Xenopus tropicalis: one gene and its partner. The protein of the gene in region 1 binds, or shares a complex with, the protein of each later gene. Links are inferred from orthologs where the notes say so. Each region holds a gene or a part of one and is shown in the gene's direction. Other genes may lie near its edges. The genes, in order: pigp and pigy.

The links.
Region 2: pigp (region 1) and pigy share a complex: the UniProt entries of both Homo sapiens proteins name them as parts of the glycosylphosphatidylinositol-N-acetylglucosaminyltransferase (GPI-GnT) complex. The link is inferred for Xenopus tropicalis from reciprocal best matches to the Homo sapiens genes PIGP and PIGY.

The regions. Positions count from the first base shown.
Region 1 is NC_030678.2:12,650,616-12,653,605, forward strand, and holds the end of pigp (phosphatidylinositol N-acetylglucosaminyltransferase subunit P), read left to right. Parts: intron 1-1,303; coding exon 1,304-1,416; 3' UTR 1,417-2,365; downstream 2,366-2,990. UniProt on the Homo sapiens protein: Part of the glycosylphosphatidylinositol-N-acetylglucosaminyltransferase (GPI-GnT) complex that catalyzes the transfer of N-acetylglucosamine from UDP-N-acetylglucosamine to phosphatidylinositol and participates in the first step of GPI biosynthesis.
Region 2 is NC_030677.2:67,794,169-67,798,641, reverse strand, and holds the start of pigy (phosphatidylinositol N-acetylglucosaminyltransferase subunit Y precursor), read left to right. Parts: upstream 1-1,525; 5' UTR 1,526-1,723; intron 1,724-2,705; exon of another isoform or gene 2,706-2,748; coding exon of another isoform or gene 2,749-2,966; intron 2,967-4,264; coding exon of another isoform or gene 4,265-4,415; 5' UTR 4,416-4,451; coding exon 4,452-4,473. UniProt on the Homo sapiens protein: Part of the glycosylphosphatidylinositol-N-acetylglucosaminyltransferase (GPI-GnT) complex that catalyzes the transfer of N-acetylglucosamine from UDP-N-acetylglucosamine to phosphatidylinositol and participates in the first step of GPI biosynthesis.

The DNA.
Region 1 (2,990 bases):
TTGGTAGACAGTAGAATTCATGGTTCCATCTATCACAGCACGCCTTCCAGGTCCTGAAGCAGCAAAACAACCCCAGACCATCACACTACCACCACCATATTTTACTGTTGGTATGATGTTCTTTTTCTGAAATGCTGTGTTACTTTTACGCCAGATGTAACGGGACACGCACCTTCCAAAAAGTTCAACTTTTGTCTCGTCGGTCCACAAGGTATTTTCCCAAAAGTCTTGGCAATCATTGAGATGTTTTTTAGCAAATTGAGACGAGCCATAATGTTCTTTTTGCTTAAAAGTGGTTTGCGCCTTGGAAATCTGCCATGCAGGCCGTTTTTGCCCAGTCTCTTTCTTATGGTGGAGTCGTGAACACTGACCTTAATTGAGGCAAGTGAGGCCTGCAGTTCTTTAGATGTTGTCCTGGGGTCTTTTGTGGCCTCTCGGATGAGTTGTCTCTGCGCTCTTGGGGTAATTTTGGTCGGCCGGCCACTCCTGGGAAGGTTCACCACTGTTCCATGTTTTTGCCATTTGTGGATAATGGCTCTCACTGTGGTTCGCTGGAGTCCCAAAGCTTTAGAAATGGTTTTATAACCTTTACCAGACTGACAGATCTCAATTACTTTTGTTCTCATTTGTTCCTGAATTTCTTTGGATCTTGGCATGATGTCTAGCTTTTGAGGTGCTTTTGGTCTACTTCTCTGTGTCAGGTAGCTCCTATTTAAGTGATTTCTTGATTGAAACAGGTGTGGCAGTAATCAGGCCTGGGGGTGACTACAGAAATTGATATTGAAATTGAAAATTGAAATTGATAAACCACAGTTAAGTTATTTTTTAACAAGGGGGGCAATCACTTTTTCACACAGGGCCATGTAGATTTGGAGTTTTTTTTCTCCCTTAATAACGTGAACCTTCATTTAAAAACTGCATTTTGTGTTCAATTATGTTATCTTTGACTAATAGTTAACGGTTTTTGATGAGCAGAAACATTTTGTGTGACAAACATGCAAAAGAATAAGAAATCAGGAAGGGGGCAAATAGTTTTTCACACCACTGTATATATATATATATATATATATTCTGTAAATAACCTCCCTTGGTGCTACATTGTCAGCCCAAGGATTGCAATGCATGCTGGGTATACAGACTGAAAGCAGCCACTAGATTGGCCAATATCCTAGTGCAGTTTATTGCAGTTATGGGCAACCTCAAGAACTCCCAGTGCCGCTCAGAGCTAATAGATGATCAGCGGTACCTGTTCTTTCAGTGCCACTGAGTGTTGTAATTTGTAAATTTTTACCACAATTTCCAGACTCTTATGCCAAAAATCAGCAAGAGAAGGCGTGCCAAGAGGATGCCATCCCAGCACTGAGGGACATTTCCATCAGCGAGGTTAATAAAATGTTCTTCCTCACTGAGAGATGATGCCGGAAGATCCTTCGGACCCACAAAACCCCATTCTTTATGATAATTCATGTAGCTATATATTTCTGGACTGTGTTTTATTTATTTATTTTTTTACTTGGGCCCCATAAACCAATGGGTGCAAGTGTTTTATTTAGAGGTGCAAATGCGCAGACTTGGAGATGTGGGAACAGCAGATTCTGCAGAGGTCTATGCTCCCAGTCACATTTATACTGTGCTGCCACTTCACTTGCTATATAAAAAAAAAAGCAGTTTACCTTGAAATTCACTTTTATTGGAATTCTAAGACAGTTTGCAATTAGTGATTATTTAATATTTGTCATTTTGAAAACCCATACAAACCATTTTTTGCTCTGCAACACTGAGGCTTGGAATTTCAGCTGCTATCTGGTTGCTAGTGCTCAATGATCTTAGCAACCAATTAGCAGTTTAAAAATCAGTATGATGGAAGATCAATAGGAGAGAGCTAGAAAAGAAAGATAAACATCTAAAAATAAGAGCAGTAAAATTAGGGTTGTTGCCTTTTCTGGAAAAACAAATGCTGGCTTTCCTAGATTTTTTATGTTTTTTTCCTATTAAAACTTTGAGCATTTTTTTTACTGGCCAGGTGGCCACCCCAAATACAATTGAACCCTCCAAATTGATTTCTTTTTCTGGTTGGTGGGGTCAGAGATGGCAAACTAGATAGGTTTCTCTGTGACAAGCTATACCAAATAACTAATAGAGACTAGTTACAAATTTGCTCAGAATGGATCCATACTGAATGCTAATATAAAGGTGGACTTTCCCTTTAAGTTTTTCCTGTATGATCAGAGAAGCTGCCGTGCCTTTTATCCCTTTCGTTATAGTATTGTCATTTGCACTGTATATACAAACATGAGGCCTGCTATTTGTATTTCAACACACTTGGTTTTATTCAAAATCCATTAAAGCAACACTGTGCTACATAGCAAACGAGAATGTTTATGATTTATATGTACATGATATTCTAAAGGGGTTTAATAACTGGGTGGGACTGGCCTGGCCAGGTACGATTCTGCACCCTGAAGCAGCCTTTCCAATGCCACCAACCATGCTTACCTTTCAGAGATTAAAAAATGGAATTTCAGGGTCCTAAAGATTCTCACCCTCAGAGGTAGGCCAAATGGTGCGGGCACCCTAGGGGGCCCCAATCCCCTCAGTGCACGCATATGTGCTTTGATAAGTGGGTGGGACATGCAGTGACAAGTGCAGGTGGGGCAAGAGAGCTCAGACTAGGTGTAGGCAGAAGAGGTACCTACCTAGTGCCCCTTACTGTTGCACCCTAGGCACGTGCCTTTTCTGCCTCCCCCTAGTTCTGGCAGTGTCCATGGGCCTGCCAGAATACCAGAAGAACCCCCAGCCGGCCCCCCACATCGGCTCATTGATGCGTTCCCTTATCCGATGGAATCTGGCCCTAGGGCCGTAAGATCAAATTAGCCTAATATCTCCCACATATCGGGAGAAGATCCGCTCGCTTGGCGACCTCACCAAACAAGCGAATCGTCCCGTGTATGGCCACCATACCTCTATGGCTCTGCGCATCAGAATCAGTG
Region 2 (4,473 bases), on another chromosome or scaffold:
TTATCTTTTCTGCAAACTGTGTGTGATTTATTTTTCTAGTGGAATCCCCCTGAGGTGTGCTCCTCAGTGACCACTAGGTGGAGGCACTGCACTGTAAAACCCAGTTCCCAGAAGTGAGTGTAATCCAATTTCTGCAGAAGTGTGCCAAAAATAGGTTACAGGGGAAAAATGAGAGGATGATAGGTGCACTTTAAAGCTTATTTCCTTTTAAATGGAATTTGGTTCAAGCTACAGACTTAAGCCCTACCTCCCGTTTTGCTGCCCCAAAAGCTTGCTAGCCCTAGCCTCCCATATGTTTGTGCCTGAAACTGTTTCCCTATTTAAGGGGTAGCTTAATTAAATAGAAAAGTCATTCCTGAAAAATCCCTTGCTAGTTACTGGCTTTTACTAATGAGGGACATTTAACAATGAGGTGCTCAAAAGACTTCTGCCCTTTTAGATCAGATTCTGTTCAGGCTACAGACTCTGACCTTATCTCCCAATTTGCTGACAAGTAGCTTGCTGGCCCTATCCTCCCCTTAGTCTGTGCATATAACTGCGTTACTATTCTTTCTTGGGATAGCTTGAGTTGAAGGAAAAATATTAGTGCAGGACCAAAACAGCTCCCTAGTGTTCTGTTAATTCAACCACATCGGATTGTCCTAACCAAATAGGTCCCTAAACTCCACCTAACCCAGAAAACAGTCAAGCCACCCAGGGCGCGCTGGCTTTCTATTAGGGATGCACCGAATGCACTTTTTTTTTAGCATATGCTAATTAGGATACGGAAGGGTTAAATTTCTAACTTCCGTGTTTATGTGACAAAAAGTCACGTGATTTTTAAGATTCGGATTCAGTTCTGCCAGGAGCCGAAAAAAGCATAATCTTGGCCAAATCCTGGATTCGGTGCGTCCCTACTTTCTATCCACTACCTGACATATAATGAATAGAGTTGCCTCCCAGCAGTTATTTTACAGGCCTGACCAATAAAACTGAAATTTGATTCCAACAGTACTAATAGACAAGATAGCTACCAACAAGAGAAGGAATGGTATTTTTTGTAGAAAAGGTGGCAACACTAACAGTAATTCACCAGCTTCTCTATGCACACTCATGACAACCAGCTCCCCTAATGATCAAATACCCCTTGCAGCCGGTTAGCCTGCTGCCATGTTGTTTTAATTACTGCTGGCTTAGAACAAACTGGCCATACACACATCAATAAAATCATACAAAACCTAGTCTCAAACAATTTTTGGACCGTGTGTGGTCTCAGAATAATCGCCCCCAAAGTTTGTCAGAAGAAGAACTGAACTTGTATGGAAAATAAGGAAGATAAGATCCAGCCACAGCAATGTAAAATGTCCCTGTGCACAGGAAATTGCAGCAGACAGAACAATCTTTATCTAGTGTCCATTTTAAGATATCTGTGTGTGTTCAACTCCCTCCCCACCACAGAAGCCCCCCCCCAGCTCCCTACCTGTCACATACCCCATCCGACTAGCTCCATACTCCCCCTGACTTCCTCCCTGTTTTATCCATGCTGTAGCTTTCTACCTTGTCTACTCCCTACTCTGTGATTCTTTGTGCTGCAGCATTCTATACTACCCGCAACCTGTTCAGTGCAGTATCAGACTGGGCTGCTGGGGTACTGGGAAAAAAACCTGTTGGTCCCCGGCGGGCCAGATCCCCTCCCCCAGGGCTCTCCCGCGATCCACCGTCACCCTCCCCCAACATACCGCAGGTAAGTTTCTTTTAGAAGCATGGTCGGAGGGTGTTTGGGGCCTCTGCAGGGGTTGGGGGGGGCTGGGGTTCCTGAGGCAGAAGCCCCAGTGAGCCCTGCACCCCCCAGCCCGACCCTGTTTCTGTGTCCTATAGGGTTCTCAATTTATTGCCCATGAACCTTTTCAATGATCTATATATATGCTGTGCCTTTCCAGCTTTCATTTGTATTTTGCCTGACGAAGGGGCCTGGGTGCTTCAACACAGGGTCAGACTGCGGAGTGAAGGGCCCACTGGGGCTCCCGCCCCAGGGGCCTTGTAGGTGCCCGTGCAGGGCCCCCCACCTGACATCCTCCCCCGAGCGTGTAAATTTAACACGTCAGGGGAGGAGCACTCGGGCAGGGGGAGCATCGGCAAGGGTCGGGTCTGGGCCGCCAGGGCCCACTTTTCCCGGTGTCCCAGCGGCCCAGTCCGACCCTGCTTGGACAGCTTGCAATTTTTCTTACTCAGCCAATAAAAGGTATCAGATTTTCTGCATTGTTTTTAATGGCTAACACAGTACAACATCTTAATTCCATAGGATTCCACAGTGAACAAAGCTTTTTGCTTTTAACAGGAATACTGTTACTGTATTCCTGTTTACCTATAACTTATTTTGAGCACTGTTAGAAATTAAATTGCTACCACCTGTCAGGCAATGTGGGCTGGTACCTGGTTTAACACAAATACAGAAGGAAAAATCGCCTGGCAGTGAATGGGTTACATATCTGTGATCGCAGGAATCAAAGGGCAAACCAGATTCAAGCAATAATATCAAGTAAAGGTAGTTTAACATTACAGAAAGACTTTAATCACAACTCTTTCAGATATATTTTGAGGGTTTTGCAGGCTGTGGGTTTATATAGTTACATGCACATGGTAGGAACCACTGAGACTGCTTTGTGTCGTGTGAGGGGCTGTTTATAGTGCTGCACAGGAAGAAGGGGTGGAATCGTTCCTGGGAAGTAAAGGTTGTGTGTCAGTCAGTTTCTGTGCAGAAAGTGGAACATGCTGGCTGTCAGGGCATGGGGAAGAACATATAATACCTTAGTCCAGCGGAAACTAAACGCTGCCTGTCCCACTGGCGCCCTGCCAGCTGTCACACTGCGGCCCTTGCACTGCTCTTTAGTTGCCAGATCCCCGGAACAGAGCCTGAAGGACAGCAAGACGTTTGATCCTACCCTCTTGCAATTCCTGGTCTGCCCTCTCTCAAGGAAATCGCTGAGGTAAAATACCTGGCACTGGGTTAAAGGGCTCTGATACAGTCAGTATACTGCTGCTGGGTGGGGGGGTCATTAAGATCACCTATGATCCTAAGCATTGCTTCCCCCCAGAGGTGCGGGCTACAATACAAGGATACTGCCCCCTGCAGTGCTGGGCTGCCCCTAGTTTGAGCAAAGTGTCCCATCAGACTTGGGTTTCTCTGACTTAAAGTTATAGCCACGTATTGTTCTATTTATAATTTCTAATTAATTACCCTTTAGAAAGACTATATTGATATTAACCATTAGCCAAATGTTAGGGCTTATATTGAAAATATCGCTGCTTATTTTTATTGAAAGGGGAACTACAGTTTATGAACCAAAATTTGTTAAAGAGCCCAACACAGAAACCCCTAATATACCTAGCACTGTAAACTGTTTCTTTCTGCTAAACCTTCTAACCTTCTTTCTGCATTATTTAAAATCCTGGGAAGAGGATTAAAGAAGAGGGACTAAAACACTGATGTTACAAATTGTAACAACTTCTCCACATCTTACAGACAGCACTCAGAAACTACATTACCCACAATGCATTGCCCAGTGATGTTATTTTCCCTATTCCTTATTATATGTGCGGGGAATTGTGGTAACTGGAGAAGGCAGGCTGAGGACAGTCTACTGCATTTTATTTGAGTCTCAAAGTAGTCAGTCAGGTCAGCAGGGGAACAGGGTGTCCCATACACCTAAGCCTGTACTCTGTATAGGGAAATATTCAGTTTATTAACAGCAAGCAGATGTCTCTTTGCTATTTCAAGCTTAACTAGAACTCCTAAATGCATTTTATATATATTATATATATATATATATATATATATATATATATATATATATATATATTGAAAAAAAGACCAGCAACACCGGATCTATTGCAAACAATCAATTATATATTGAAAAATACATGAACAGCCAACGTTACGTTTCGGTCTTGAGAAAGGTCCCGACGGGGACCGAAACGTAACGTTGGCTGTTCATGTATTTTTCAATATATAATCGATTGTTTGCAATAGATCCGGTGTTGCTGGTCTTTTTTTCAATATTTAAACTCTTTTACCGTGCACCCGGGACAAGGATTGAAGCGGTGTGCCACCCTTGGCTCGATATATATATATATATATATATATAATATTGATTATGGAATGACGCTTGTGGTTTGAAATGTACTGATTTTGGTGATCAAATTTCCCGACATTAAATATAAACGGCTGTGATTCCCCATTCATTGATCCAGATCTGATTGTTTATATGTCATTTTTTTTCCCTAGATATGAAGAATCTACCAATGAGTTAATTAATGACGAGCTGGGTATAGCTTACCCAATTGTTGATGGCATCCCAAATATGATACCACAGGATGCCCGCATGATTCATAAAGATCAGAAGCCTGAGAGCCCAGACACAGAGCAGACAACATAGTTTTTTGGATTTGTTCCTGCAAACAATAAAGAAGCCATGTTTTTCTCCCTCCCTGTGC